2 linked regions of the Styela clava genome follow. The protein of the gene in region 2 binds, or shares a complex with, the protein of the main gene of each other region. Links are inferred from orthologs where the notes say so. Each region holds a gene or a part of one and is shown on either strand. Other genes may lie near its edges. The genes, in order: BBSome complex member BBS4-like and BBSome complex member BBS7-like.

Region 1 (17,007 bases), on a different chromosome or scaffold from region 2:
TGTAAAGAGACGGAAGCCTATGGGCAGTGGGTATATTCACTTGGCTAACAAAGACAGTCCCCACACTTTTAATAGAACTAAAATAAGGAAAATCGGGATAAAATTATGGCTTAACCCTAACCTGGCACACACACTACGGGAGTACCTAATTATATTATTAGATATCTTTACATTAAACTCACAAACCTTGGTGATGAGAGAGCAGGACTCAATAAGCTTGGAGTGAGAGGAGAAGATGGTGATATCTCACTTGGTCCTGGACTTGATACACTTGATGAAGGTGAAGTTTCAATGGAATGTTTTGAACCTGGAATAGGAATTGTAATTCGCAAATGCTCTGATAATTCTAACCATTATATGGCTATAACGGATTAATAGGGCCAATATTCGTTCATACATAACAAATTTCCAGTTAAAATTTCACATTACTTAAAATAACGAAATAATTTTACAGCACTCAAAACTTACTTTTCTTTTTTCGTTCTTTTGAAGATGACTTCGGTTTCTCATCTGGAGGATTTTTCACGAATTTTTCCCCAACATTGATGGCCACACCTAGTTTCTTAGCTGTGTCAATAAGCTGTTGAAAATATCACAAAGTCACTCAAAAATTAAATATTACCGGTACGTAATCCTGAACATCAACTTCCTGGACATGCGGGAGAAAAAGTGAATCATCGAATTTGAAAACAATCAATTTGATTCTAATACAGGGTTAAAATAATCTGTGCAGTGCAGGCTACACATTCCAAAATTGGATGATAAATGATACAAAAATTGTAGTTACCTACTCATCTTGATACATATTTCAATTTAACCCCGGTATCTGCAATCAGAATTTTTCTGCTTATCTTCACAGACATATTCAAAAAAGACTCATTTTCACGCCCTTGAAGTAAAACTTGTACAAATGCAAACCCGCTAGTCCACAGTCGATAATAAAAATAAACCTCTTTGTCTAAATTAGGATCGGAAGAATCTTTCATAACTTTTTCAAGTTTTCCGAGTAATTTCTGAGCTTGTTTCGAATCTTTCGTTTGTTGAAGAAACATGATATAATTGATAGTTATGTAAACATCATCACTAAGAAATGAGAAAAAGTACAAAATGTGAGTATGCGTGAGAAATAGCGTTATCCAAAAGTTGTTTTGACATTGCACAACATTACATCTCTATGAGGCTCGGACTAAGTTAACCAGATGAAATAACATAACTAAATGATTGATTTACTGAAAACAGTACATAAAAATATTTTCCTGGCTTCGCTATCATAAGAACAAACCAAATATTCAATTCCTAGTAGCGCCGAGGAGTCGAATGTTTCTACTGATATTGCAGTTGGAATTTCAAACTTTTAATAATGATAACAAATGTCAATTTGTCTGTAATTTCTGACAAAAACTTAAAGAAAATCAGTTTGACTAAGCATTGTCCACAAACAATTAAAGAAAGCATGAATCTGCAAATCCTATCGTTCCAAAAATTTGTGTTTTACAGAGATGAGCTGGAGTGAGAATCGAAATTTCCTCTCCAAGTTCAAGTAGTTAGCTGGTAATAGTTGGCAACCATGACATATTTTTAAGTATTAATCTTTCTCATCCTTGATTTTAACCAATCTTAATGTATGAACATATTGCAGCTAAAGATCTCACGGTTTTAATTGAAGAGCTTCCTGGTATGATTTTCTTGCACTCTCAGTTTGACCAAGGTGATTCAATGAAACTAAAATTGTAATGATAGTTTTGTTAGCAAATATATGATAATTTTGAAAATGTTCGTATTAGTGACTGCATACCTGCAATCAACATGTAAATATCAGCATTTTTCGGCTTCAATCTTAGTGCAGTGCTCGCAAACTGAAACGTGCTTGCATATTGCTGCATCGTTGCATGAAGAAGACTCAAATTATATAAAATTCTCCAATCGAACGGTGCTAGGTATGTTGCTCGCTTTAAACAACTGATAGCCTGTGACAGGAGAAAATTAATAAGGTCAAATAAGGTTCAACCAACAAAATTCAGAATTGTTCGCTCGAACATGACAAGATTAAATCAAATATTTAGTAGAACACTATTACAATGCCTCGTTTTTTCTTTCATGACTTTATAACTAACCAAGATGGTGGCACACTTCACCATTTTTCATTTAGGCTAGAGACATTTGAAATTGTTTGGAGAACAAGGTTTTACATGAAACCTTGCCCTTGATTGGCAGACAGACATTTTGTTTATCTACCATGAAAATCAAATCTGCTGTCGATATGGCAGCATATTAGGCATCTATGAAGCAGGTCATTTGAATGGCAATTGGGATCAACCCTATATCCATTATAACCATCCATCTTGGGAATTAAGAAACTGTGGTCTTGCAGAGTAGGATGGATGCTGATGAAAATCTTCAAAGACGAGTTCCATTGGCATCCCAAATTTCGTTACTAACAATTCAGCAAGACTAGTTTTCAAATTCTAGATACAAGCATATAGTTGGCATTCTCAATCACCAATACTTACGGCAACATATTTCTTTTTTCCGTAAAAGCACATTGCGATGTTATTCCACAGTGCTGCACTTTCAGGAGCTTTTTGAGCAGCAACTCTATATTTAGTCAGAGCTACATCAAAATCACCATGTACTTGCATAAGAGAACCTGCTGCTAATATTGCCTGTAAAACAAGGATAGGATAGGATAGGATTTACATATTTATCCCGAGGGAGAGGAAAGCCGATAAGACGGCTTATCCATATGGCGAACCACGGCCTCTCGTCCGGTTACCATTCCAAGTCGGGTATGGGATTAGTTTTACTGTATTGTTTGTTTTCGGAAGCATGGACTTGGTCGAGGAGGAAGCCGTAACCGACCAGCGGTTACGTGAACCACCCAACGACAGCGAGGGGTCCAGCAATCCTCTCGCATATAACCATCCCTGCATGAGATTCGAACCTGCGAACCCTCGCAGAGTAATTAGAGGTGCGGTGGCGAGCGTATTCCTAACGCTTAGCCCGTTGAGCCACACCGCCGCGCCAGGAAAGTATGCTTCAGTTAATGACAGGGAGAAGAATTTTGAATGCAAATTCAACGCTTGCAATGCTTTTAATTTGAATTCAGTCATGATTTCTATAAGTAATATTTGCAATTTTCACTTTTATTCATGTGCTCAGCATATGTCACCATCACCATAAAGATGTAATTTAGAACACAAACATTCAAATGGCTTTGAGATACCACGAAATACAGGGTGACTCCAAAAAACAGGACCGATACAATATGTTCCTAATGGACTGGGTTCTATTTTTTCGGATCAATCTATATTTATCTTACTCTGATGTTTGTTTGGTACTCCCGAAGTATGTGAACCAAGATGGCGGACACCGGAACGTGGTATAGGCCTGATTACATGTCCACTGGGACCGGTCTAGCAGACTACATATGGAAACTATTTCACGCTTCAGTGGTTCGCCTGCGATTCAAATTCGTGCTATCGGTCAACAACATCACACCACCTATCGAGTAGGTCTGGAAGTGAGCTGCACTGGTTTTGCTCAGTCGCTTTGTCCTGCTACTCGAGAAATCGCAGTTACGTAAGTCGATCGAAGGGGTACCGGTATGAAAGTTGCTTTCTTTTTTATCTCTGGTAAGTGAGTTGCATTTCAACAAATAAAAATTTAGCTAAATAGTGCTAGAAGTTCAATGTAAACCTCTTCCTCATCTACTGTGTCGCTGTTGAACACAAATTTGAATTACCGGTACTTGTACCGGTGGGAACCCAGTGCGGCATGCTTGGTTGTTGTTTTGAAACAGAATTAAATCTTATGTCCAAAGATTTATTGGTATGAATTGAGCGCAATACGACTCTTGTTGATAAACTTCAGTTTCCCATTTCCCAATGAGAAATTTTTTGGAAATTCACCATACAGCGATAACTCATCCCAGTTGGTACCGGTACCCTAACTGTACATACCGGTACAAATTCAATGCTTCAGTGTCGGTAACGTCCCAGTAGTAGGGCGATATTAAATAATGAAAGTGCTTCTATTTGCATGTGATGAGCCCACTTCACACAAAGTGTTCGGTTGATAAACTGTAATTGTTTAAATTTGGTTGCCAGTAGACTACTGGTAACTGTAGGATTACCGTAATTTTTGAATGGATCGTGTGGCATAAGGTGCGAACCTGCATATAATTTTGATATATACTTTAATTAACATTTGTATTGAATTTATTGACAATGAAATATACGCAGTGTTCGCAAATCATGACTTATTTGTTTTAGTCCGGCAGCTCTAAAACTGTTTCTTATCTCGTTGGTTTGGACATGTAATCGAGGGTGCTAAGTGGTCTCCGAGACCACTTCGACATTTCCGAATCGAACCGGTTCGCTGGACTGGTTTTGATGGACATGTAATCAGGCCTTATGTGTACCAGGCTAAAGTTAGGCTATAATTTCAGGTTCGAATACTAAGGGAGTCACTTGGCTAGTACCCCAACTCGTAATAGAGCTAAAATAAGGGCAATTGGAATAAAATTATGACCTAAGCCTAACCTGGTACACATACTACGTTCCAGTGTCAGCAATCTTGGTTCACATACTTCAAGAGTACTGTTTATTTTATATGTGTGATAAACCAAAAAATGTTTGTGTGTATTTCCGCGTAATGTCATATTTACATGATGTAATGATACATAGGATGCAAAAAAACTTAATAAATACCTTATAATTCTCAGGGTCAAATGTCATTGCCTGACCAAGTAATTCAAAAGCTCGGTGGAAGTCTTGCATCCTTAAATATAACAGACCAAGAGTAGTAAGAAGATCTAAGTTTTCTGGAGAAAATTCAATACCTGAAACAGAAAGGCACTCTCAGATAAAAAGACAACTCATGCACAACATCAAATGAGAACAATGTAAGTAAAACACTGAAAATGTTATGCATTAAGAAATGTGTTAAGCCATGGATAAATGAAACATATCGTAACATCTCACCTTTCTTCAAAACTTCTACTGCTTTATCCATTCTACTTGTTTCCAAGTAAAGACGGGCTAACGTTGAATATGTAATGTCATGTTTACTTTGTTTAAGAGCTTCATTGAATGCATCCTCTGCCTAAAATAATAGTCAGAATATAAAACACAAAAATGAATTACTAATCCAGATGAGAATTTGGTGAAGGTAGCCTTCTCTTTTTATTGTACAGTACATTTCAGGGATAACTACAAATATACAATTTCTTTTATCGAAACTTAGCAGATAACTTTGATCAGGTAAGCAGTAGTTATTTATATAAAAATTCAGATTAAATGTACTAGACTTGTTACGTTGTTAGACTTGAGTATTCTTATAGTTCAGGATACAAAAACAACAGGTGAACCGAAATGCTCACACAAGGGATGTTTCCCTAAACATGGTCTTCTTTGTTTATTTCCATAACAATGGCCAATCAACAATAGGTTCAAAGAAATGTAACAATTTAAAATCAAATCATAACACCTTTTAAGTTTCGAGCATGGGTATAAACACTGACTAATTTTTTGCAAGCTTCGGTTTAATTCGACAGTTTCATTAATGCCCCCCCCCCCCCCCCCACAATAGCATTGAAAATTTTCAACAGTAAAACTTCAGAAAAATTTTGAAAGGTTTAGGATCAGGAAAATATCCATTAATAATTAACCACCATATCATATTGTTTCAAATGTAGAAAACAATCTCCTAGTTGTTGAGATATTTCCCAGTCATCGTTGCATGATAAAACTGCTGCTTGTTTGTAACATTCTATAGCATTCTTGTACTTCCCTGTGAGAAACCTGAACATTGAAATAAACAGTTTTAAATCCATAGCAAAACGTAACAATTCTAATCCCAAAACTTACAAATTCTTTGCAACTTGTTTCAAAATTTCAGAACTTTTTGGGTTGATTTTAGCACAAGCTTGTAGAAGTTCTGTTGATTCTGCAATTCTGCCTTCAGTTCTAGCTATCATTCCTTGAACATATAGAGCGTATTCACATTCTCCACCAGTTTCTGCCAACTGCTGTAGTATCAAGTCCTACAAAACCAATATCAATATAATTTTGACACGGTACGGTAATCACTTCTCTCCTGATGATCAGCTTTTAGACATGATATCGCCACAGTACCAAAAGTAACTTATTCAAAAATGGACTTTTTTGAATTTCTGTCATAATGGACCAGGGCCCATCGTTTGGTCTGGTTTTCGAAGCTTTATCTGTTTTGGGTTTGATCCTATGTAGTGTCGCCTTACATCCATTTTTATGTTTGCTCTTAGAACCAAACTAATACAAAAGGGCAATTTTTCAAATTTAACTGTGACATAAGCTAAATGGATCTACTGTGACAATATAGGAGACTGAATATGTAATTTTTTGTCATCTTTTAACCATTGTAAAAGGCGGTCACTTACGTAAATAAATGTAAGTGATTAAAAAAATCAGGTCAGTACTATAACCTTAAGCTAATGTACAGTTCCTTATTTATGACATAAAGCTGACATATACTTGTCTTTTGAGTAAATTATTTTAAAAAAGGATTGAATACCTTTGCAGTGTGAAACTCTTGTCTGATGAAATGTTGATGAATGAGCCAGTTTCTTCTTTCAACAACTGGGAGATCTACAGCTACAATAGAAAAAGTGATTCTTTAGCATAAAATCGGAAATATTAAAACTAATTTGAGAAGCAAATATATTAGGCTAGGTATATTTAAAGTTATTATTTTTTATAGACATATAAACCTCGCAATGAGTTTTAAACCCTTGCACTTCCATACATGACAATCATCAACATACGCATATTAGGCTAGGTATATTTAAAGTTATTATTTTTTATAGACATATAAACCTCGCAATGAGTTTTAAACCCTTGCACTTCCATACATGACAATCATCAACATACGCACAAGGTGACTTGCAGATTTAGGACCGGGAACTTCCAGCTTGAAGGCTACAGTTTCATGAAAATTTCATGTGTGTTGTTACACAAGTTTTTGTTAAATGCTGCAATTCTTAATAATGTGACATCAACAAGTCTGGAAACAGCAAATTTACATTTTGACAATCCGCTATTTATGGTAATTAACATGGATTCAGATTCTGGCCACAGAAACTTGCACATTGGCATGATTTTTAGAGTATATTTTTGGTGTCGTAGTCTCCTGCATAAGCTGTGATGCATTTTGTGATATGGTAAGCAATGCAATAAAATTTTTCATCAACAAATACCGGTATACTACGAACGGATTGGAAGAAAAATGAGTCTAGTTGGCAGTGTAAAGATCCAGTTCCCATTCAAACTTGTTTAGACGTTTCATGTTTGAATATATTTCTTTGTTTTGTTCACTTTTCATTCGAAATACCATAAAAAGAATACCATAATTATGTTTACATTTATCGTTTTGTTCGTTTTTGCAGACAAATGACAACTGAACTATTTTTAGATTTTACATTTTACTTAAAAAAAGTAACAATTCTGGAATTTATTTGGCAAACTTTGGCAGAGAAATAGTTGAAGATATTGCAATGAAGGCTATTCATTCTTTGATAAGAATAATTAAACAAGCGCTGGTGCATGAATCAGTTGTTTACAACTTCTGCCTCTCTTTTGTTTATGTATAAAGGGTAAACATAGGTAGTATTTGATTTTATGACTAGTTTATAATTCCTTAAAATCAGTCCATATGTTTATAACAATAGACAATGAATAGTTAAGGAGGTGTTGGTTTTCGAACAGTTATTAAATTGGAATTCCAGACAACAATTAACAATAGGCTACAGCAATGAGTATCAACATCACCATTAAGCTAGAAAGAAAGCTTATTTGAAACTGTATATACTTGAATATGCAATTCAAGAGTCCTGCTGCGCACTAACACAAATATATTTCTGTAAACGTATATTTCTGTAAACGTTACAGAAATATATTTGTGTTAGTGTGCAGCAGGACTCTTGAATTGCATATTATGGTATCTTATTCCTGCTACAGCATCCTTGCATTACATGCATACGGATCCACTAGCGCAAAGGCATAGAGAAAGGATTGGGAGTTAGTCTCGCGCAACCTCTACTGATCTGTATATACTTGTACTGTTATTAAAAAATTCAAATATTCTAATTCAATCCGATTTGCATCGAAGTGTGATATTGAAATATGACAATATAGATATACCTTTTGCTTTTCCCCATATTATCAGTTCGAATTTCAAATTAAGGAATATTAAACCCACAGCACCACAGTATTATAACAGCAATAATGATTTTTGATGACATCAAATTTTTACACAACTGCATGATAAAAAAAGAAGCAAGACGATGAGAGCAATATTAAATATATCAAAATATTAAACATTTTAAGTTGTCCTGCATTACGGGATGTGTTAAATAATAAAATTCTTTCATGTATATAAGAATATTACTTACGTTTTTTTGTTCGAACTCTAGGTTTTGGAGTAGGAGGCTCTACTGTTACTTCTTCCTGGTTTTCTTTCGGATTTTCGATCTACGACAGGAATGTAAAAAAAATTAATATCAAATTCATAACATTGCAGTAAAATAATCTGACACAAAAGGGAATTTATAATTATGTAGATATGACAATCCACATTTTTTTAACTTCTTTTTAAAATTTATGATGACAAGAATAGAATATCAGTGGCCTCACACAAAAAAATTAAAACCATGTACCTCCTCATTTTCTGTGGATCCGGGCATAATGTATAACACTGATAGCAATTTATGCTAATGTGTTCATATTTGTCTAAATACTATTTTGCTATTAAAATTAAAATAACTATGAATTACCAGTACACATTCACAAGAAAATATATTCATACACAAAAATAATAACATCAGCAAGATCATGTTATTTTATAATAAAATTAAAACCAGATTAAATTATTCTAATTCATCTCAAACAGGGCTGTGGAAGTTTGGCATGTTATTATTGGAGTTGAAGCCATCTCTTCACACTACCTTGAGTCAGAAGTGGAATTTTGAAGGTCATAATTGAAACTCCAAAAAAAGCTAGAGACGAAATTTTCATCATTTTTTTCAAGATTTGTCAGGGTTCTGATTTTTTTTTTAAAACCAGAGTCTGTTTTAATTTAATACAGACTCTAGCACTGGCGTCAGATTAGCCCTTCAATTGAATAAAGCTATAAAAAAAAATAGCCAATAAATTTATATCAATTATTTTGAGATTAAAACAGTGAAAACTCATATATATATAAGTTGCAATTTGAAATAATTGTCATGAATTTAAATTGGGCCTATTTATAAGATATGAGAACCCTTGCATATGTTCATTTTGCTACTATAACCACCACAAAATTGGTTAGGCCACGATTCATACCAAACTCTAACAAAACCAATTCATGATATATCATAATTTTGTTGTGCGATTGAACAATTCAAATTATAACGAGAAATATAAAATAATTATGTACATAATATGTGCAGATATTTTTATCACAGATCATTTAAATGAACTTTATTAAAAAACAAAGCAGCCACAAGAAAGAATGCTAGCATTTATCATTATTATTATTCCGTTTCATGAAAAGCGACTTATTAAACAAACCAAAATCTTTTTTGGGGAAATAGTTTATAATAATAGAGTTGTTTCAAATGTTATTCACATGTTATTTTAAAACTTTTGTGTTTGAGTTATGGCCATTGGCCAGTAATATTCACTGTATAACAACAAAGCATACAGACTCAAACCTGAGCTTTTGCTTACAAGGAGGACACTCAGAACAAAATGGGGAAGTTAACATAATTAATGAGAATATCAATTCAAGATACATCATAAATATCAAGCCTTTTTTTATAAATAACAGTTTTTGAAAATGCAGCATATGGTGGAACACTGTTTACTATGCTTATAAAAGTATATCAACCTCATTACCTCAATGCGAATAAGTGAAGAAACACTACATTATTTATTTTTAGTTCAATATGACTAGTGTACTCAGTTGAATAAAAAACGATAATTAAATTTGTCACAAATCCTAAACAACATAGGTAAAATTACATATGATAAATTGAAGCAAGCAATGTATTTTTGTTTTTGGCACAATACTTAATTACAGTGTTGAACATTGATTTTTAAATAAAAATTTGGCAAAATTACAAAATGAATCTCAATAAAAAATTATAAATAAAGAATTTTTTCATTAATATACTGATATAACTTAATCCTGAGTTAAGTTTATGTTACATTGATTTAAATTGATAGTACAACCTACAAATAAAAGGTAAATTTCAATTTGATAAACATAAAAATTACAATGTTGAATAGGCCTAATGTATAACATGATAACAAGAGAAAAATATATCATATTTACAACTCATGATAAACTCAAGTGAGAAAACATGGCACTCCAGCATGACATAAAATTTCACTTCTAAATATCTAGAATGGGAAAAGATAAAATATAAATCTAGGAATTAGTTTACACCAGCAACTGCAACAGGAGCTGAAAAGCTTCTTTGCTTGAGTTGCAGAGGACGATATGCACGATTACTTGGCATTACAAAGGGTACAGGAAGTAGAAGATTAGAATTTGGTCCTTCAACAAAAAATGAAGTAGTTTTTGGCCTGGCTCGACTTTGTTTATTTGAAGGCTTAAAATCAGAAGTAAATCCAAGTCTACTGACTGGATTGCTTCCAAGTCCATTGCCACGATCATTATCGCTCATAAGAGCACTTTCCACTCGGTTTTGATATGACTGGAAAACCTCATTACGTGCAGCCATAATATCTATTATTTCTGGTTCTATTTCTTCATACAATCGGGATTCCATTGCAAAATCAAGAGGCGATGGCAATGGTCTTGATGGTAAATCAACAGATCGCCGCGTTGAAAATGCTGTTCGAGTGCGAACCGGTGTAGGTCTGGGTTTCTCTCTTACTGTCGCAGATGCAGGATTTGCCACATATTTTCCTTCAAATCCCCTGGTATACTTTCCCATTTCAACAGTCATTGGAAAATTGGTCCATTTTCCTCTGGGTGTTCTTGGACAAAAAGTTCTCTGTGATGGAAATTTGAAATTATTCTGATCTTTTAATGGAATACCTTCTTTGCCTGAAAACCCAGCATTTAAAGAATGCATTTGATATTTTCGAACAACATGTTGCTGATAGTACGAGTCACGACTACCTTTATCGAGTCGAACAGCATGCCCTCGATAAAGCATTCTAGGGAATGCTGCCTTTTTTTCATAAGGTGGAGAATATATTCCATATCCAGGAAACACTCCAGTACGATTAGAATGACTGACAATATCCATCTTTAGAGTCACATTAAGTCATTTGGAGGACTATTCTAATGTGTTGCATTTGTCAGTTAGTAATGGCTGAATGGCACAGAATACTGAAATATTACATCTGTTTTAATAAAAAATAATTCATATAAACAAAGTGATCATTGAATTGGAGGCAATGTACTTAAACGGCGTGTATCCTGAGATAAAATTTATATACAAGCAAACGATAATAGATACCGGTATAAGATTTTGGGACCTACTGAAGTTTGGGACCTGAATTCAGGTTGTGTACCAGGTTGAGGTTCAGGTTATACGACATCTTGGTGCGCATACCGGTACCGTACTTCAGGAGCACCAGATTTTGAATTATTGGAATTCAGCAGCTTGATCATAAGACAGATTTTCCACATACAGATATACCGTAGGGTACCAAATTGCTTAAGCCGCCAAATGTACAACTACAAGCAAGGCAACCGGTACCGGTACAGCGGTACCGGTATGTTCCATTTGTTTCTTTCTAATGGCGTAATTGAAACAGGATATTACGAACAGTGAGGTAGCATTAGAAATAGCGCACAATGAACAATGAGGGTGTATTATTATCGCGTTGGTACACCAAAGTTACCCTAGCAGACATCTCTCAGCAGATATCTCTCTCGTTTTCGGAACGGTGAAATAGGGTTGCCAGAAATCGATTTAACATTGCGTATAAAACGCGCTGCGGAAATATGAATGCTGGGTGAAATTCAGTTGCCAGATTTATGCCCTATTATAATCACCGTATTCCACGTAAACTTTCGTACTTTTCAATGGCCGGCCACATTAATAAAAGTGATAAAAAGGAAAACACATAATACCATCATCTCGATCAAAGTTTAATGAACTTTGTATGTCGGAAAAATGATATGATTTCTTGTCAAACATGGCCCAAACAAGAATTATACATCGAAATCACTAAATATCGGTATTACACCCAAAAATACTGCACTTTCCGACGACGTGCCCCACTTTTAGATAAGATATCCCAAAAGAGCATATTGTAAAGTCATCTCGAACTGAGTTTCATGAAATTTGTATGGGGGGAAGATATAATGATATCTTCTCAAACATGGCCCAAACAACAATTTTACATCGAAATCACTAAATATCGGTATTAAACCCAAAAATACTGCATTTTCCGATGACGTGCCCCACTTTTAGATAAGATATCTCAAAAGAGCATATTGTAAAGTCATCTCGATCCGAGTTTTATAAAATTTGTATGGGGGGAACATATAATAATATCTCCTCAAACATGGCCCAAACAAGAATTTTACATCGAAATCACTAAATATCGGTTTTAAACCCAAAAATTCTGCACTTTTCGATTACGTGCCCCACTTTTAGATAAGATATCTCAAAAGAGCATATTGTAAAGTCATCTCGATCCAAGTTTTATAAAATTTGTATGGGGGGAACATATAATAATATCTTCTCAAACATGGCCCAAACAAGAATTTTACATCGAAATCACTAAATATCGGTATTAAACCAAAAAATTCTGCACTTTTCGATTACGTGCCCCACTTTTAGATAAGATATCTCAACTGAGTATATTGTGAAGTCATCTCGAACTAAGTTTCATAAAATTTGTATGGGGGGAACATATAATAACATCTTCTCAAGCATGGCCCAAACAAGAATTTTACATCGAAATCACTAAATATTGGTATTAAACCCAAAAATTCTGCACTTTTCGATTACGTGCCCTACTTTTAGATAAGATATCTCAAAAGAGCATATTGTAAAGTCATCTCGAACTAAGTTTCATAAAATTTGTATGGGGGGAACATATAATAATATCTTTTCAAACATGGCCCAAACAAGAATTTTAATATAGGTGGTCTCTCCGTCGCCTTCATCTCCGTTTTCGCTTTCGTCAATTTGTTTGCCGGGCGGCCAACTACGACATGGCGTGGCGGAGATTTTGGGGACGGAGTCGTTTTCCGGCGTGGATTATCTTTTGTTGGCTCTGGGGACCAACGATGTTGCAGGATCTGTTGGCTGGGGCAAACAATCCCGAGTATACGCCGAGAAGCTGGTCGAAGCCAGCAAGCAGGCTTATCCGGGAGCCAAGGTTTGTTCCACAACTATATCTGGTCCAGTCCAGGTATATTTCTGTAAATAAAAAAAATTTGTTGTTTCAATTTGATCCAAGTGATAAACTTTTTAGTACTTTTTTCTCGGCATCGTACCAGAGCAGTGATTGATGGAGCCTAATCATAAAATATAGATATTTTTTGGATGTACAAATCCACTTAATATTTGTCGGGTTGACAGCCAATGTAAGAGAATACATGCTTCATTTTCAGATACTGTTATCGAAGATATTGTCCCAGTCAAAATGTTCCACTGCTGCAGCCAATAGGGACATGGATGCGATTGCCAAGCTGCACTCTATACCTCTTCTGGATCTTGACGTTGGCAGAAATCCTTCGTATTGGAGCGACCATTTACATCTGTCGGATCGTGGTTTGGCGAGATACATGCAGATTCTCGAGTCCGTAGTAGCAAGAATTGTACGAAAAGGTGGGACGTTTATGGTGTCATTATTTTTGAAAAACGCAACATTCAGGGTATACGCTTAAAAAAATTGTTATTACTATATATATATTCAACTTCCCACCTTTTCCCTGTATTTGCTGTTAGCTTTTGACATGTACATACAAGAAATCACTTTTTTTCAATTTCGGTTGAGATGTGTTTCATGTATTCTATGTCAAAAATCTTGAAATGACCTAAAATTCACCAAAAAAATTAAAATTATTTAATTAAAATTATTTTTAAAAAACAAATCTTCTTTTTATCAATTCAGGTTATTTTAGTCACTAAAAAGTTATTCAAAATGAGCTTGCATTAATTCTTCGAAATTTTACACATAAAACAAAAGAAACATATCTTTGAAATATCAAAATAATAAAAAATAGCACAAGCCTGCAATTATACTGAAAGTATAATTTTGGGGAAATAGCCCCTATTTTTTAAATACAAAATTAAAAAAATATTGTTCGTTTTCTCCAGTTTTTGTGGCGTAATGAATCAAAAAATATTTATTAGAAGCCGGTAACAAAATGAGTTTTACACAGTGTAATGTATTGAAATTATAATGATGATTCGTGCAAATGTTAACATATGCTAACAAAAATTATTTTTAGACAAAACTCCCGAATCTACACAAATAACTACTGGAAGCATATTATGTAAGTATGACTCTTGCTTGTTTTTGAAGAATGATTTCCCCGCTGTAGGTTTTTCTGTTGGAACTGGGACAAAATTAATCCCTACTTCTAGTAGATCGATTTCTCGACGAAGGAAAAGGATCATCTGGAAGCCCTTCCTCCTCGACTCTGTTTCATCCTTCAGCACTCAGCCCCACCCACCCCTCGTATCTTTGGTGTTCTATGCCAGTGTGGTTGTTCGGCCAAAAACTTCAGTTTCTTTGCAACCTGCGCCATGTTTGCGTCCCTCTCATTCCCGACCATCTTACGCCGAAAGGTCTCTACGGCCTCATCTTTCACTACTTCTGTCGTTTCTACTGGGGCTATTTCTGATATTACTATGCTGCACGGGAATGAACAGCCAAAACATACTAGCAGGTCTTTTTTTTCTCCTCCTCCCTCTTTTAGTAGATCTGATAAAGTCAAAAGTAATTGTCCCATTCCACGGAAGAAGTTACAGAGATCATCTTCGCCTGATAAAAATGCTTACCCTTCTTTAATTTATAAACAGTCGGGCGGTGTGTTTTCCGAAAACAAATTGTCAACTCAGTCGTTGGTAACTGCAATAAATGATATGGGATCATTTAATCCAAATTCCCAAGCAGCCTGGAGCAAATTAGCAAAACTAATTTGGAACAAAAAATTTGCCAAAGGTGAATTGAAAAATTATATTCGAAAATTGCAACATTTTTGGAACAATAACTCAAAAACACTGAAAATCAATGAAAATTCATTTCCTGACACATCAGGCGATGAAGGATTTAAAAATACCAAAAGGGATGACCATTCTTCTGATTTTCATTCTGAAATTAAAATTAGCAATTCGACTACCAAAATTTGTCACAAAGAAAACACACCGCCTACGTCCCTGAAAGAGAGCTGTGCTAACAAATTGAAGCAGGTTAGTAACAATTCATACATATTTTTAGACGCGCATGGAACTGATTTTGATGATAAGGTGCGCAAACCTCAGTGCAAGCACATGGTATTTGGGAACGTGAAAATCCAATAAAAAATGCAAAATTTAAAATGGACACCAGGAATTGGAACAGTCTTTTCAACTCCGTTGCTGGGCAAAAAATAAAAAATTCTAATTGGGCTGATGTTTTTAGAGAAGCTATCAAAGAGAGTGACCCTTACTGTTCATATGCATTTCGATGGCACACAGTAAATTCTGGAATATTGGCTAATCGTATTTTTGCTTGCAGTGGGCATTGTTGCTTCACAGGTTGCAGTCGCAAAATTTCTGTAGTATCCTATCGCAGAGACCTCCGCATGTTCCATGTTAGGTATTCGGGAAATAGGTATCACGTTGGTATTAAATCAATCCGACTTAAGGGAAAACGGCGGAAGGAATTGAAAGGAAAATTGATTCATTCTCTTCCTCGTAATATGTATTTGAAAAAAATTGGTGCGCTCTCTTCCGATGTTTTTCATTCTGGTAATAGGGACGATGCTCCGTCACAGGCTGTATCAAAAAAGGCGCGATATGAGGCTAGAATGGTAAATGTCCCAGATTTCGATAATCAATGGAATTCGCTTGACTGTTTAAGAAAATTTCAGGCCGAAAAATGCAATAATAAGTTAATTCGTGGAACCTTGCAGCAAATTTCACGAGTTCCACCAGGTATTATGTTGTGGTCGGAACAGTCTGTAAGAATATTTATCCATAATGCTCAAAATGACATAATTTATATTGACGCTACTGGTGGGATACTTCCTTCCGGTGCCCAAAGTCCATATTACATTTACGAAATAGAAAATCGCCATCCCCAAAAGGGCAAGTCCCCATTTGCTGTTGCAACGTTTGTTACGAATCGGCACAACATTGCAAATATTTCGAACTTTTTGTCACAATTTCGTTCTGATGTTTCGAAATTGACCAAACGATTTCCCGCAAAGGCTTTTATATGTGATGGTAGTATGGCCCTCATCAAATCAATAATTCAAGTAATAATGCGCGAAATTCTTGAGGCCTACATATCGCGCTGTTATTCGGTCATTCAAGGCAGTGCGAATTTGGATATGCTTTCCCGACTCTTTCTTCACCTATGCACCAGCCATACCATGAAAAATTTTAAGCAATTAGCTTGTAGGGTTCCAAAAGTAAAACGTGAACTCATGTATATATTTGGGTTGCTTGTTTGCTGCAAATGAAATGAAAAAACTTCGTAAAATCGTTTACCATTTGACAATAATATTAATAGCCCTGAATTCAAATCTTGTTGCTAATAGCTGGTCTTACTTGAAAAAGCGTATCGAAAAACAAGATATTCTATCCCCACCCGAATGTGTTTTCAATCAGGATGCATCTGATGAACTTCTACCAGATGCAGACTGGAGTGAGAGGAATCCTTTTACCGAATTACTATATCTGGATATTGCTAGAGCTACAAAATTGCTACTGACGCTGGTTTATGTGGTTCAAACTGTTTTTATTGCCCGGAAGTAATGACTAAATTTAAAACATTTTAT
Region 2 (17,216 bases):
TAATTCGTTCCTACACATTTCAAAATACCCAAAATATTAACAAAACGTGTACCCAAACAACAATAATTATTTAAATCTGTACATCTGTACCAAGATATCACAGTTTATTGTATTCATATATCAACATCATATTTCAGGGGACCACCTTGTTACGAGAGTTAAGACACTTTGATATCTATAGACGTATATGAATTATAAAGACATAGGCACACATAATGTCACACCCTGCTATGTTTTTAGCCCTGTTGCAAACAATAATGGGCTGGACTCCTCACTGTTGTAGGATGGTGCATGTTCCATCCTGATATCTATTCCCATGCTTCCTTTCCTCCCTATAGTACTCACATGAATATGAAATATCCTACCCTTATATTTTGAAATATAGAACTTAAAGCCTATCTCCTTACTGCCATGCAGTGACATATCCTAGCCTTTACCAGCTATTTTGCTTTAAATCTTTACCAGCTATATTGCTTTAAAGCAATGACTCAGTAATTATTTTATATTATATTATATATAGGCTTTATTATTAAATCTCACCTCAAGTCGTGTAGTGCTAGACTGGCATCTGTAGGTAGCAAGCAGAAAATTCCCAGAGTTGACATCAGAATAATTTCCACCAGTAGATGAAGGTGGACCAGATGTACATGGGGTATATGAAACAACTGCTGAGTTTTTAGCAACGTCCAAAATATCTATCGGAACATCACTCTAAAAATAATAATGTAGAAAATGACTTATAGTGCAAGTTATAATTTTTTTAATGAAATGTTTGTCGACATTGCATATAGTAAATATTAGAGAAGAAATCTAAGCGAAGTGGCCGAGTGTGATTTACGGTATCAGACTAAACTAAGTCGAGATTGCAAGATATTTTTCGGTTTCAAATCCAAATTTCTGTTCTTCCAAACTCAAGTAGCTCTTTAACATATAAATATGCTGTATATTATCGAAAAAAAATTTGAATAGTAAGAAAACCTACCTATCAAGTTTCATTTAAATTTTGGTAGCAATTTATTTAAATTAAACTACAGTAATAAAAAATCAAGCTCACTGACCTGTAATACTATGTGGTCGATTGGTGTTTGGACTTCAATACTTAGGTTATAACTTGAATCAGAAGGTGATAGAACAAACCTATCTTTCACATGAAATATTGCAGCACGAGACATTGTTGGCTAGATGGGAAACAAAAATATGTATTGAAATTCAAGCTACACTTAACACGTTGCCATTCCAGGTTACACATCTCTGGTACAAGTCTCAAGACAGAATTTGATAAATTGGGTAGGCCAAGCATCAGATGAAAACCGACAATCACAATGTCATGAGCATTTCCAGAAAATTTAAAAAAGGCTCATGCATATGGAAACCACACACGATATTCTAAATAAACGTTTGATTCATGATACAGATCCCATATTCCAATGCATACCGTATTAGCTCGTTTAATAGCCCGGGCGCTTATTTTTTTAAACATACTCAGTACTCACTAACCGGGCCCTTATTCAAACTGGCCCTTATTCAAGCAGGGGCGCTTGTTATTTTTAAAGTAAAATTACACACAAAAATACTGGTAGATAAGATCGATCGTTACAATAATTAATACCGTATATTGTCATTTCCAGTTCTCAAGTATGATTTAAACGAGAATAATAAAAATTTAGACTTTTTCTACGCACCGCAGATACAAATCCTCAAAAAAAAAAAAATTTTTACACCGGGCGGGTATTCAAGCACCGGCCCTTCTTTATTTTCATGTCCTGTTCACACGGGCGGCTATTCAAACGGGCCCTTAATCAAGACCGGGCGTTAAAACGAGCATTTACGGTATATGTATAGTTCAGTGTTGGTTTGATCAGCACGGTCATATTAAGTGAATAATATGTGATTGTGAACGGCCCAAAATCTGTCTTGTGTCTTCACGCTTTAATCTTTTTCCATAATTAGTAATTAAAATTGCAATGCTAATTATATTTACAAATCTTTTTTAAAATACACCTAGTGCCATGCTTCAAATAATATATCTCACCAATTCGTTCTTGTCAACAGGTTGGGTTGCTCTTTTCCTGTATTTGTCTCTTTCAGAAGCAACTTTCATTTGTAATTCTTCTATTTCTGATCTGAATAATGTAACAATACGATTATTGATTGAAGTAGAGTGGGTCTAACTACAATTCCTTTCTCTGTGCTTTTGTGCTAATGGATCTGTATCTATGCACCATTGCAAGAATGGAAATGGATAAATTGTGAGGCCCAAAAGTGAACCTTGTATAACACTTTCAAACTTCATTGTGTAATATTTGGTCCAACTAGCCGGACTTCCTCAAACAAGCAGTTCACAAATGTTGTGATGCAAGTTGAGCGCTTGACCCCAAAAAGGCCAAACTTGAATAAACTGTTTTGATAAAATGTATATTTTTCATTTTCCTGTAACTATTTATTGAAATATTTTGGCGTCAATTGCACAGAATTATGATTAGATACCAGCTTAATAAGCACCTATTTCTGTAATATTTTCAAATTAATTTTCTTTCGAAATTTCAATTCCTGCATTTCGTCTCGAAACTCTCGGATTACTGAAAATTCAGTTGACATATCGACATAAATATGAAAAAATGTCCCTCTATTACAATGTTTGATCGTAGATTAAAATTAAAAATTTATACCAAACTAACTTGATTTTATTGATTTTTTGTAAATTTTCTTGGTCTTCTTGCTCATTTGTTGAAGAAGACAGACTTTTAGAGCGAGATGATCCAATGTGTTTAGTTGGTGGTTCTGTTGTCAACCCGATTACCCAACCGGAATAAGTGAGCAAGACAATTTCATCAAACCCTGTTGCTCCAATGACGCCTCCTTGTATGGCAGTAATGCTTTCGTTGAATGTCTGAAATATTTCATGAAGTCGTTTTTCACCTAATAAGAACTATGGTAATTATATAAGTAAAACGAAATCAAAGATATGCCTGCTTAGTTCCATTTGCTTTTTACAACAATGTCTATTTATGTAATTTGATCATATCATGGCCATGTACAACAAGCAGCCAGTGGGTAATACCTAACGAAATCTAAGGAGTTGCATATCACATATTACTTTTCATAGTATCATGTCGATATCAAGTTTCTGGCAATTTGTGAATTTAGTTGAGTCAAGCAAGTGTGTACTCACATGAGAATATCTTAACGTTGGTTCTTCGCCAATATCATAACTATAAACTTCTACTGTACCATCTTCTCTTCCCACCAAAAGATCAGGCGTTCCGTTCCCAGTCATATCATGATGTGCCAAGCAGGATACCCCACCTAAATTTCTATCATTAGGTAGCTCCCATGTATGATTGGGTTCATCCCTATCAATAAAATGTAAAAGATTAATTTTTCTTGATTTTGATGTCTGCTTGATATTTGATTTAATCATGGTTTTGTTTGATTTCGTACGAACATTTTTTCACTTGATCTGTAAAATCATTCTTCAAACTAGAACACACAGAGTGATATTTTGAGGTTGGGATAAGAATAAATGTTTTAATATATTGTCTATAGACCATTCAGGTCAGACAGGATGATAAATTAGCACGTAAACGGTCAATATACAGAATATACTCAGATGGAAAGTAGACAGAAGCTAATTGGTATAATATTTTTACCTTGACATTCAAGTGATTGCTCAAAGCCTTGGCCGGACAATGCTGGTATAAATTTAAAACCGGGGTACTGGGGTACAAAAGGGTTAAATCTTAGCACTACATAACCCCCACCTGAAATAAGCGTCCTTGGGAGGACTGGGCGACTTTCTAAACAACCTCGTAATAATTTTAAATTTAAACTGATCAAAATAGTGGTTTTATGATATATGGTCATTTGATAGACCCTAGCAACAGCTCTCAGCTCTACATACCTGCCAACGACAATATGGCCAATCGTTCCATCTACAGTCCCATATATTATTTCATTTCCCTCTTCACCTGCGTTACCAAGGTAAGGAACTATGCATTGTGGAACACCAGCTACTTCAATTTCATATCGTAGCTCAGTGCCCTGTATAAAGATTTATTTAGAAATTATACAATGAAATTAAGCTAGGGAGCTTTATGTAGAGGTCTAGACAAAATAGGTGGAGAATAGCAAAAGTAATCAATTCCAAAGTGGACAGATAGACAATATAATAATATCGAGGATGGTTATTTAACATCACCTATATTTTGATCAGATGAAACCATAAGATACTGTGAACATATGTATTGCTGAGGAATGTTCTGCAATTTGATCCATGCTATTTAATGCTTTGTGCTAGATAATTTATCTGAAACTTGTTTATCTGAAACTTAATTTATCAAAGCACATCATAAATATTTGATGCCAATAGGTATTTGAGAATCAATAATATGTGGGTGGCTGATAGCTGGTAAGTTATTGCTCTATTTACTATCAAGTCCATGCATCTGAAACAAATAACTGGTTATTTATTCCTTTATCGACATGAACTGGTAACGGGACGTAGGACGTAGTTCGCCATATGATTAAGTTTTGTTATTAAATTTCCTATTCATGGGATAAATATGAAAATTCTAAGCTATATTCAAGATGCTGAGTTGAGATTTAAGATTCAAGTTGATAAACAAAAAATATCCAAAGCACACATTTTTTATTATCGTCAAACTTGTAAGATCATCTTACATCAAGAACACGAAGTAATCTGTCATTGCAAGCTAGAATTGGTGTGAAATTGTCGCCTTCTTTTCGAAGTACAGGAATACATATGATATCATTTATTTTATCGCTGCTCAGATAATATCCTTTGTCAATGCAATCACAAAAATGATTGTAAATATATTCTCCTGCAATGAGAAGGTCACTTCCGCTCACACAACTAGAAATGAAATTGAAAATAATTAAATCATAAAAAGAAACACGAGGTTTTCTATACATTTTATCTAAACAAGGCATTTTATAAGCACCATAAAGATATTTCTGGTCTTGCAATGACAGGGTGAAGAGGATTTAGAACTGAACAAAGACCTGAAAATCTTTGGCCTGTGATATCATGATAGCCAAGACGCCACATCAGGCAATTATTTCTGTATATAAATGTGATTTTGCTTTAGTCACTCAGGTGATCTTACTTTGTAATATTTTATACAAAAATATGTAGCAAAATTTTGCAAAGAACATTTATATCATAGCTACAATAGAGCATAAAAGTTCGATAAAATCAAATTCTATATCATACAGAAACTATCCCTTAGATATACAGGGTGACCCAAAACACAGAACCCATAAATCGCAACAATTACGGTAATTAAAACATTATTTAACATTTGAAATTCTTTTTGTGTATGATTCTACCAAAAAGTTTTACTAATCTAGGATGCTTCACACAAAAGTTATGTTCCCTCCAGAATATGTTTTAACTGATCTAGATTTTGTATTTTGGGTCACTCAGTTAACATTTATTATCTTACATGCACTTTATGTTTTCTGTAATATTTGTGTCAAATCCTAGAAACTTTTTTCCTTTTCTTGAGTAGCCGTGCACAACAGAACCAGATGCAACAAATATTTTATCTTGCGGAGTTCCTAATGCACCACCCAAATCCAGAAAATTGTTTGGTTCTCCTGGCAAAGTCTTGAAAACATTCTGAAAAATGAGATTTTACCATAAAAAATTGTTTATTTTGCAATCCGAAGATAATAAATAAATTATTTACAGAAATATCTCTTTTTTTCGATCCAAAACAAGTAACAACCCCGCTCTTGTCCGCAACTACAACTTTCTGCAAAATTCTTTTTGATTTTTCATTGTTGGGTAAAACTTTCATGCAATTTTTTCCGGTAACTGCGACCTGTGATATGAAAAAACATATAGTATTGACAATGACAAGTATAAATTTATCTGGTATTTTGACATCATAAATGGAATTTTATCTAAATTAAGCCGAGATGATTCTCTGTCAAATACAACTGTTAATAGTCAGTGCCCAGAACATAAGAGCATAGTTCAATGCAATAAGCTCACAGCATAGAGGTTAGCTTACAAGGACTATGTCGATGTTACAGCTTGAGTAATACTATAAGCAAAATAAAAAAATACCTGCAAGTAATCCACCCTGTGAAGATCCAAATCCATGTGTGAAAAATATTCTAATAAATTATTTATACACTATAAAAATACAGCGAAGTTGTCATAAATTGATAGATACAGTGAGTGATATAAACTGGAATTATAGGAAGCTTTAAATGATACAAGCATGTAATGAAACTAAAACAAAATAAGTTGACAGTGAAATACATAAATACTGGGAATATTTGAAAATGACTTGAAACTGAAATAAGTATGAGTATATATATATAAGCCTTAGAAATCTTATAATGCCATACTATAGAACAAACACTAAAGAGAACATGGAGACATAAAATTTAAAAATTATACTGTATCAATGCCTAGGTTTTGTTCCCTAAATTATAAAAATATATCGAAAACTATTGAATAGTTGTGTTCTACTGATTGAATGCAACAAAAAGTTATCACAGAATATCACAATGAATTTATTTCGCCACAAAATTACAGTAAAGAAACTGAATTGGATTTCAACAATAAAGTTGTTATAAACACTGAGAATAATGATAAATGGAACCACAAAAAAAAATTCTGGGTTAAATTAAAAAGAGTATTTAGCTATCAATGATATATGAAACAATCTTTTAATTACAGAATGTGACAATTTCCCTATATTTAATAATAAATTTCAACTAGCGGTTTTCAAAATATCTCAATATGAAGTTTTTGCTAACGATTTGGAATTCATTGTTTTTCTTGTTCTTCTCTTTCCATTTGTGCCAGAGCTTTCTTTTGTCTCACGCCACGTAGTTTACGAATATCTTCACTGTACTGTTGTTCTCGTTGTAGCTGCTTTTTCTGTTCTTCCAATTCTTGTTTATGCTGATTTAAAACCTGACTTCTTCTGATTAAATTAAGAAGTTCCGCTCTGAGTTGTCGATTTTCATACTTTATATTTGTTGTATGTTCGTTCAAACATTGAACAGCTTTTTTGTTAGCTTCCAGAGCTAATGCTTGAATTTTATTTTCACTCTCTTCAGTATATTCTGCCTTTTCCTGCAAAAATTTTGCTTTCAGCTGTTGAATTGTGTCCGAATGTTTTCCACGCATGTGTAGAACTTCACGCTCGAGTTGCTTTATTTTTTTCAACTGATCTTCACGAAGTTCTCGATATTCACCTAAATCTTGAAACTCTTTTCTCGCTTTTGTGAGTAAACTTTCTTTTTCCAAAAGAGTTGCTTTTAACTTATTCTTTTTCTCTTCATAATCCGATAACATTTGTTCTTTTTGAGAATTTATTTTTTCAAGTTCCTTCTGGTTTTGATCGCTTAAAGACACAATTGTTGTTTGACGTTTATGTGTCTTTTTTGCCATGTATGACATGTATTCATGGCTTTCAATTCTGGTATGTTGAGCTTCTTGTTGTAATACTTCATTTTCTTTTCTGAGTTCCTCTGACTGCTTTTTAAGTCTTTCTAAATCGTTAGTCAAATGATTCAGTTCTTTTTTTAAATAAACTTCTCTGTCAGTAGGACCTGTAGGCTCCTTAGCGTTTTCTGCATCATCAGCAGGTGCTTCATCTGCAGCTGCCTTTTTGCCCTTCTTTTTTCCACCTTTCTTTTTGGGCGGCATATTATGTTATCTTAGTTCTGAAAATAAATTATACATTGATTTATTATGTTATGAGAGTATGATAAGTAGCCTGATAAATATTTCAGTGCATTTTATATCCCGATGCACTGATAACTGTATGGAATATTTGAAAATAGCGGCATCAATATTCCTTACACCTCCAGACCTCAGTAAGCCTATATTAAAAAATTTAATATTCAAATGTTTTGAGATCATTTACCATAGTACAGTAGTAGGTTAGTATACTAGTATGTTTTATGTTATAACATTATGATAGGCTATACATCCACCAATGACTTGTGGGTCACAAAGCGACAGTGAAGAATTAACGAAAAGAGCATAAGACTTCGAACTATATACTACTCTGCAGTTTATAATTCACGCATACAATGCCTTCAAGAAAACAAAATTTTATTGACCTAATTTACAAACATAGCAATCTGAAATAAAAACTGAACAGGATGGATTTATGTGATTGGATTAAAAATTATAATTCTCCTAGAGTTGAAATCCTTTGCAAAATCTTTTCAATCCCATAAGACGATTTGCTGTAGTATTACTGCATTGTAAACGATTTTCGATTAATTTATACACATGCGAATCCATGTTTTTATAAATCAATGTCATAAACTAGAGTACCATAAATCACCACTAACTTCTGAACTTATAACTATACCTATAAATGTGGCATGTGTGAAGCTCAAAGATACACAATACAAACCAAGGATTATAAAACTTGTGAAAAAGATGAAACATCATGTTTATAATTTTGCGAGCTTCAATGAATATCTATGACCCACTGTCTTTTTCCCCAGTTTCCACAATCCAGCAATCACTGAATCATGCAATAAAAAAATGATGATTGGCTCATTCATGAAATACAGAAATAAGGTTCGCCACCAATGATATAGGTTTATGTCCACCTTACTGGGTCACAACCTATCGAGGTTGCTCAACTTTTGAACTATTAATAAGACTTGAATGGTCAAAATTGTAAATTGCATAATGGAAAAACACAGAAACACCGCGGTTGGACGTGTCGGTTAACGTCCTCGTGCCACAGTTTGCAGAGAATCGTTGACGCTGAAATCTGAAAATTGCGTTAGAACGTCCTACTGTCCTGTCTGGATATCAATTTTGATGTGAAAAAGCGCGCTACACGAGCAGTTAAGTCTGCTTGTATTTCATAATTTACAAACAGTTGTGGTAATGAACGTCAGGGCGTAACGAAAATTAGGCAAAAAATGAAAAGCGATGTTGGTTTGTTTTCTGCCGAAATATTTCAAATTTTATGCTTGGATGAGCAAAACCTTGGTTACATCATACGCATGATTGATTTCGAACGGTAAGTACGTCAATTTAAATTATTGTGACTTTCTTGACATGAATAAAACAACAAAAAAATACAGTCATACGAAACTGAGAGTAATCCTAGTACGAGTACCGGTATACCGTAACTAACACCAACGTAAGCAACGTTCAAGCACGCGGCCACTCACCAACTAGACAGTATCGTTTTATTTTCCCATTAATCAATAATGAAAGAATGTTGCGCACCCTGTTTTTACCTAAAATTTACAGGGGTGAGCTAGAACTTTCGGTTGCAAATGAAATTGTTCGAACTGGCTTGAGCCACAAATCTGATCCTAATTCGAAAACAGCAGGCAACATCATTGCTCATCATCTTAAAATGGCCTCAATGTCATTCCACCAGGAGCCCAACTACACAAAAAGTTAGTGGCCAGCTGATAAACTTCCATCAAAACGTACATCTGAGATGGCTGCATTATCGCTATATTCGGATAACTTCTAACAGAAACAACTTGCTGAGGAATCAATAAGATATTGTGGATATACTTTACAATATTATTACACCTTTGTTCACAAACAGTTGCTTATTTTGAAAACAGACAAAAATGATAAATCATCATATGATGATTAATTAATTTGCTAAAAGCATCATTAACATCACGGAAAACGGATCGCTATATTCAAATAACTTCCCAACAGAAACATCTGGTTTTATATGGTCGGATGAACACATCTATCAAATAATGTACCGTATCTGCTTTCTAATATTATAACCCCTTCGTGCACAGACAGTTGTTCACAAACAGTTGCTTATTTTGAAAACAGACAAAAATGATAAAATTATCATATGATGATTTATTAATTTGCTAAAAGCATCATTAACATCACCGAAAATGGATCGCTATATTCAAATAACTTCCCAACAGAAACATCTGGTTTTATATGGTCGGATGAACACATCTATCAAAAAATGTACGGTATATGCTTTCTAATATTATTACACCTTCGTGCACAGACAGTTGTTCACAATAAAAACAGGCAAAAATGATAAAATTGATTTATTAATTTGCTAAAAGTACGCATTAAGATGTGTCAAGACCATGTTTCTTGTTGATATTTTTTATTTTTCTGCATAGTTTCATAAAATTCAAATGCTTCTTTTTCGGTCATCTCTCCAAATTCTTTAAAAATCTTCAAGAAAGCATCTCGGACACTATCCGGCATGTTTTTTGAATTCCTAAACATAATAGAGATAAGATAAATTGATACTGACTAAAACAATGATTAACTTATAATAGAGAATACCTACCCTGCTACATAGATATTTCCATTGCATTTACTAATAATATCCCACAGTAATTGACCATGTTCCGCTATCCTGTGCTGAACATAAATTTTTTCATCTTGATCTCTTGAAAATGCAGTGAATAATTGCAGACATCTATCTTGAATCAAACTATTCCACTCTTCTTGAAAATAAAAATCAGCATCCTTATTCCGACATCCAAAAAAGAGAACATTTCCTGAAAAAGGGAATTTTACATGCAATGCAATTACGTATTTCAGAAATTTTCAGTCTAAACCAACCTATAAACCAGTGCTTCTCCACCTTTTATAGTTGTGGAACCGCGATATGCTATTGGGCTCATCACAGAACCTTTACTAACAATTATCCAAAACAGCCATAAACATATAAGTCAAATTTTTCAGTGTTGGACACTCTGACAACGAAAAGTCATCACAGAAGATAAAATGGCTCAATGTTGCTCAATGAAATATTTATACATATCTACACTATTCGAACGACTTCTGGTTTTATTCTTTATAGTTGGTAAACTAATAGATATTGGAAAATTGACACAGAGAGAAACCACAACTCGAAGAGAAACCCCAACCGGACACTACAGAATTCTCAGAACTCACCTAACCCCAGTTGAAAAGCACTGATATAAGCCAATTACAGTATCAACAGTGGGCACTGTGTTCAAAATCACCCACCTTTCTCTTCATTGCATACTCGTTCATGTATTGCACTTCGAAATGGGGCTACACCAGTGCCTGGTCCAATCATGATGCAGGAAGTACCATTAGGTTGTAAATCTTTGCTAGATGCATTAGGAAAGCTGATACCTCCCGTTTTAATCCAAATTGGAACCTTTGAACCTTGGTTCAAAGTTGACAACCACGTAGAGCATAAGCCTTGTCGAGGGATATGAAGCATGGTTTTGTATCTAAAAGAAGTGAATAGGAGGATAAACAACATCATGTAAAGAGATAGGATTTTATCCAGGTAGAGTAAAGGGAGCTTAAACACACAACAAATTACAAATGTTACTCTCCATGTTACCAAACCAGTCTGATGTGGTAAAACAGTGGTCGTCAAACTTTGAGACGCGACCCCATTTCAAAAGTTATGACGTATGATAAGCTTGTGACGCCTAGGTATGGAAAAGAAAAAAATATTTCAAACCACTAAAAACTAATCACAGCAAAATCTCGGTCCCAAAAACTCTATCACATGCTCTAGATTTTGTGTTACAATTTAATTATTGCCGTCACACAATAGCCTTATTATAAAAGATATCACTGTAATTCAGAATACCCAAACTTGCTATGTAGTGCTAGTCAGCTCAGTGTAGAATGCAACCCAACTTGGGGTCGCGACCCACACTTTGGTGACCACTGTGGTAAAAGATAACCAGTTACCCCAATTTTTCTATAACTAGTAATCCTAGAAATTTGAAGATTGTTTAAATAAGACCACATTTCAAATATCTAAATTCATTTCCTTACTTGACAATTGCCACGAGAATGTGAATTTCATTGACATGTTTAGTAGGTGACGATGCAATTGAAAATGCTCTAGGCTGAATCATTGGAATAATCTCGAGCAATCGTGCTAATGGAATATTTTTGACAGTCTTGTGAAAATCCTGAAATTGAAAACAATATTTAATACAATTAAAATAACTACCAGCAGTTGAATTCATTTAAATAGTGTCAAGCACAACTTTAGATTTTTCACCTCAAAAACTTCCAATATGTTTCTTCTGGGTCTGTTTGCATAACTATATCTTTCATCCGTACCTTCGGGGGTTGAAAATTCAACTAATTTTTCATTTTCCAACTCATCGGATGCAAAATGTTTCAACATTTGGAAGAAACTTCGTCTAGAAATGTAGAAAGATGAGAATGGTAAATAAAATATAAATTTGCAATAATATGGCTTTCCATGATAACCATTACCATTTTATTTTGACCTAAATAATACTAGGTGCATAAATAAGTATGTATATCTACAAATGGCAAGTTGTACTAGTTACTAGATTTTATTTTCCATTTTAGCTGATGGCTCTCAACCCCACTATGAGCAAACCAACTGGTACATATCAAAAAGTTAAAATGTGTAACTTTTATTTAACCCTATAGTAAATTAAAAAAAACTAAATTCAAAGAAAAAAATGGTGTTCCAATGAAAAAAGTGCTACTATCTCTCTATAGTTCTGACTGAATCTTATTTTTAACATCTTACACCAAAAATGAAAAATTGTTTTATTTAGATTCAATATTATTTTAATTATGTTTGCCAGTCTCAAGTCAACAAAACAGAACAAGCGAACAAAATCCTAAGCTTTGTACAGTACAAGGAGTTGAGTATACCAAGTATACCATGAAATGATAAAAATCCTAAAATAAAATGATAAAAATGAACTTCAGAATCCCATACATCTGTATAAAATTATATTCTACCTACCTAGGTACAGACATGAAATCAAGATATTGGGTTGCAAGCTTTTCTAATGTAGTTGGATTTTTCATAGAGAAAGGAAGAGTACTGGAATCATCAGTTGATGTGATCAACATTGTTTTATTTGGGTTTAAATGAGAAAATGTATCTGAACATAAAAATGTATGAAATGAAAATAATTTGTATTAAAATTTCTAATTGTAGTCGTAGACTAATTGCTTAAAATTTATTTTTCTTGGTTGCAGTACTCGCACACAGCAAGCAGAAAAAGTTTGAAGAACACTGATCTATAGATTAACCTATATGCTATCGGTATCAGATAAAATGTTCTCAAACGATAGAACACCAAATAAAATTGCGTGAGGGACATGTTTTGAGTTCAATACAAGTATGCTTGTTAGATGACAAAAAGGCACAATTAACCATATGCATCTTAAGATAATACATAAAAAAGAATGAAAGCATTCAAGAAAAATATCAGACAAAGCAAATTTCAAATTGATTTTTTCCAACATAGCATTTACCTAAAAACAACTGGATAATTTGCAATAACCAACCTAAAAATCTTTTCACATTTTCCTGTGTATTGGATGGTCTGATCATTACAACATCTCCAGGTTTATAAGAAAGTTTTCCGTCAGATTTAGATATATCTAATACCACATGAACTGTATTTTGGAAATGATTGTCTGGTGTAACACGAACATTACTTTTTACTTCAGCTTGGAATGGATTATTGCGACAAAAAGAGCCTTTAAAACAAAACAGTATTTCTTTGTCACCATATTCTTATTATCTTATTTCTATATTAGTGGTTTGCGAATTCGCCTAATAAAACTGCTATTGTTATTTATTGGGGGAACTGACCCTGATGGCTGTATGGTCGTATCGCTCCTCCCAGTCTATATCGAAAAACTTTGTGTATGTTGTTGTATATTTTTATTATTGTTGGAATGCTTGTTTTTTTCTGGTTGACGGAAAAAATAAATCTCTCTTCTCTTTCTCTTTAAAGATTTATCAATTATATCAATTCCCCACACTTCATTTTGATATGATATGATTTACATATTTATCCCGGGGGAGAGGAAAGCCGGCTTATCCATATGGCGAACCACGGCCTCTCGTCCGGTTACCATTCCAAGTCGGGTATGGGATTAGTTATATTGTTTGTTTTCGGAAGCATGGACTTGGTGGTGGAGGAAGCCGTAACCGACCAGCGGTTACGTGAACCACCCAACGACGGCGAAGAGTCCAGCAATCCCCTCGCACATAACCATCCCTGCATGGGATTCGAACCCTTTTGAAATCTAGACATTTTCGATATGATTTTGTTTTTCTTATGGGCGTGATGATTTAGTGGTTGAACCACTAGACTATGTTGGCATCACAGGTCTAGGGTTTAATTTCCACACCCACCATCTCAATGTAATATATTGGCTAGGCAAAGCCAAATTGGAAAGATTCCTGGCTTTCTAAACTATAGTATCTCTTACCTATCAGTGGTGGCTTATTCAGAGTGAAAGGCATATAAAATATGTTCTATAAAAAACATACCCTTATCAGTGACTTTGATTTTTTTCTCCATTAAGTAAAGCTCATCATCATTATGGATTTCAAATCTTGGTGGCGGCAATGAACCTTCTAATGGATTGAGAACCTGTGATGTATAAACTATATAACATTATTATAAGTAGTCGGAAACAAAACAAAAGATGGGCCATGGCCCATAATGACATAAGATCAAAAATGTCAATTTCTGATGCTTTGGATTCACTGCAGCAATATATGCTCTCAGAGTCTTCAATTTCATGATAATGCATAATGTTATATTTCTAGTACTGAGCAAACTTTGCTTATTCCAATCCAAAATTACAGAAATAATATAGAATAGAACATGAAATGTATTCTTGAAATATATTTCTTTTATAATAAACTACAGTTCTGTTTTTGAATAATCATGAATATATTCATTATTCTAAAGTGATATTACCCCAGTTGGTAGTGGATACATCTCTAGCAACCTTGTCCACATTCCTGTAACCCACGGATCAACAGTGGCATCTGCACCCCACTCGTGCTGATCATCAGCTAGTCCAATATCAACAAGTTTCTTACCACCTATAAACAGATAAAGGTAAATAAATTTATTAATAAAGACGATATGACTAATTGGGGATAATAAGGTTGGGTATGGCTGTCTATAAATTAAACCTAAACTGCTAATAAGAGGGTACGTATACACACTTTTTCAAGTACTGTAATCACAAAATTGACAAACATTTATTTCCATATGCGTTTATTCGTAACAGATTATCAAGACCTTCATATTTATAACAAAAAATGTGTTACGCTCATTTTCTTACCTAATTGTTGAATTCTTCTGTCAATTTTTTTTGCTATAAAATTATACTTTGCATAAGATGAATCACCGAGCCCAAGCACTCCATAGCTAAGCTTTTGTAAACTATCATTAGGAAGATTTTTCCTCATAATGAAACGCCAGAATTTCTAAAAATTAAAATTGTGGAATCAAAAAATGAAGTTTTTATGAACAATGAATTTTGTCTGTGCTTAATTTACATAGGTAATAACTGAATGTGAAAGACAACAAATTCTTCAGACCCACTTTCATATTATCAGGTGTTTCACCTTGTCCTGTTGTAGAACAGACAAATAAAACAAAATCCTCTTCTATTAGGTTTTGGATAGAATATGCATCAAGCTCCATTACAGATGCCCTGCAAGTGAAATAATCTCATAATATTATTAAGGTATATTTTATGTGTGTATTATAAAATCATACAGAGTGCAGGCTTCAAAAAATAAATAATTGAATAAAAAATTTCTTCTCCTGCACAACTACTAATAGAGAAATCGATTTCCAATTTTCACTACTAAGAATATACCAATATGGCGAAAGAAGTCGTGAAATAACACATCAGACACAAACAAAATTAAAACTATGGTTAGTCTGAAATGAAATATGAAGTTTGTTTATTGAAAACATGATTAGTAACTTCACTTGTTATATGATCTATTTGGGGTTTTATATAGAAGTATTCGAAAGCCAGACACGAAATATGAACTATCTCTTTGGTATATATTTTCCCTGTTAACATCACATGAACATGTTCGCCAAATAGGAAAAGAAATCTTAAATTCATTAATAATACTCGAAATGTGTCCCACGACTTTGGGCGCCAATATTCTCAGCAACATCTTGAGCAGTTCCTGTCTGACTTCCATACAAGATTACAATTCTGTGACGTTGTTTAGCAACTGAAACAGAAAAATTTTAAGAAAAATTTAGAGGTAATATAATTGGTGAAGATTGAAATCGATGTCTAAGAGATGATTTAAGTATTTAAGCTTTTTAACAAATATGAGCGCATGTCTTCTTCAGTATGAGTTTTCCAAGCCATAAATCATGGTTTACATTAAATATTAATAGTTGCTTGTCCAGAGCCTTGCTTCGTAAAGAGTTTGGGCTCAAAAAAGGAAGGTTAATGAAACATGTCTGACAACGTTGATATCATATCAGCTATAGTAATACTTAGCCCAGTCATGCATCAGTGATTCTTGTATTCTAATTAGGGGTGTTCATGAAGTTGAATCCCACTGAATAAACCATATTTGCCGAAATAAATTATTGTTTGGATGCAGTAAGCATACTTGAATTATTCATAGTAATATCCATTGAATTTCTTCTTGTTTTTGGCTTTGTCCTTCACGTTCTGATGATCATATGGACACTGTTAGGTAAAAATAATATATTTCTGTATTTAGGGTATATCCATAAAGTAAGCTTTGAATGCCTTGCTTGGAAGTGGTTGAAAATTCCATACCCTTTTTCCTGCTTTCCACATTTGTATTGTATTCATATAAAGATATTCGTTTCCGAATCATTATGCTACTTGCAGACTTTTGCGTTTTGTGCATAACGTTATATACTTGATGGAAAATTGAGTAAATTATATATATATTCCGCATTTTTATTGCAATATATTTGCTCCCACATATGGCACAATCGAAAAATTAATTTACCCACATGTCTACAAGCACTCCCGCAGCACTTTCCTCTCTGCAGATGCTTTTCTTTTGTCCAAACTATATAACCAGTTTCCGGATCTTCGTAAAATGCGAGGTTGGAATTTATTGCTTCCTCATGTCTTCTTACTATTTCTTTGCCCCTGTCTGTCAAATTGTTCAAATCGTCCCAATTCTGTGAACACTTGAAAAATGATCTGCGTGTGATCTGAATAAGTCTAACGGGCGAAATAGACATGGAAAGCTCATGTGTCGACAACAAACAAGCGCAATATATTATCGCACACCAGCACAGCTGAGCTCAATGTCAAAATATTGTGTTGGTTTCTTGCCCATGAGTTCTGCGCTAAATAGCTAGCTGCGTTCGTGATGGATTCAAAAGGCTGATGGTGGCACTCACGGTAACTGAGACGATGA

What was found.
Region 1: BBSome complex member BBS7-like (region 2) and BBSome complex member BBS4-like share a complex: the UniProt entries of both Caenorhabditis elegans proteins name them as parts of the BBSome complex. The link is inferred for Styela clava from reciprocal best matches to the Caenorhabditis elegans genes osm-12 and bbs-4.

What each region holds. Positions count from the first base shown.
Region 1 is NC_135260.1:19,649,272-19,666,278, forward strand, and holds the start of BBSome complex member BBS4-like, read right to left. Parts: upstream 8,812-17,007; 5' UTR 8,720-8,811; coding exon 8,693-8,719; intron 8,508-8,692; coding exon 8,429-8,507; intron 6,633-8,428; coding exon 6,553-6,632; intron 6,044-6,552; coding exon 5,868-6,043; intron 5,802-5,867; coding exon 5,672-5,801; intron 5,104-5,671; coding exon 4,983-5,103; intron 4,841-4,982; coding exon 4,710-4,840; intron 2,664-4,709; coding exon 2,511-2,663; intron 1,968-2,510; coding exon 1,796-1,967; intron 1,723-1,795; coding exon 1,653-1,722; intron 1,084-1,652; coding exon 951-1,083; intron 581-950; coding exon 469-580; intron 308-468; coding exon 187-307; intron 1-186. Other genes in the region: uncharacterized protein LOC120335694, read right to left, coding at 10,457-11,299. UniProt on the Caenorhabditis elegans protein: Component of the BBSome complex. The BBSome complex is thought to function as a coat complex required for sorting of specific membrane proteins to the primary cilia.
Region 2 is NC_135263.1:9,590,576-9,607,791, reverse strand, and holds the start of BBSome complex member BBS7-like, read right to left. Parts: upstream 6,252-17,216; 5' UTR 6,131-6,251; coding exon 6,095-6,130; intron 5,847-6,094; coding exon 5,712-5,846; intron 5,642-5,711; coding exon 5,466-5,641; intron 4,874-5,465; coding exon 4,681-4,873; intron 4,042-4,680; coding exon 3,902-4,041; intron 3,354-3,901; coding exon 3,173-3,353; intron 2,891-3,172; coding exon 2,679-2,890; intron 2,124-2,678; coding exon 2,033-2,123; intron 1,179-2,032; coding exon 1,059-1,178; intron 712-1,058; coding exon 541-711; intron 1-540. Other genes in the region: coiled-coil domain-containing protein 166-like, read right to left, coding at 6,806-7,693; NADPH-dependent diflavin oxidoreductase 1-like, read right to left, coding at 10,097-10,241, 10,314-10,527, 11,003-11,235, 11,798-11,937, 12,030-12,174, 12,759-12,900, 13,310-13,504, 14,307-14,409 and 5 more. UniProt on the Caenorhabditis elegans protein: Component of the BBSome complex. The BBSome complex is thought to function as a coat complex required for sorting of specific membrane proteins to the primary cilia.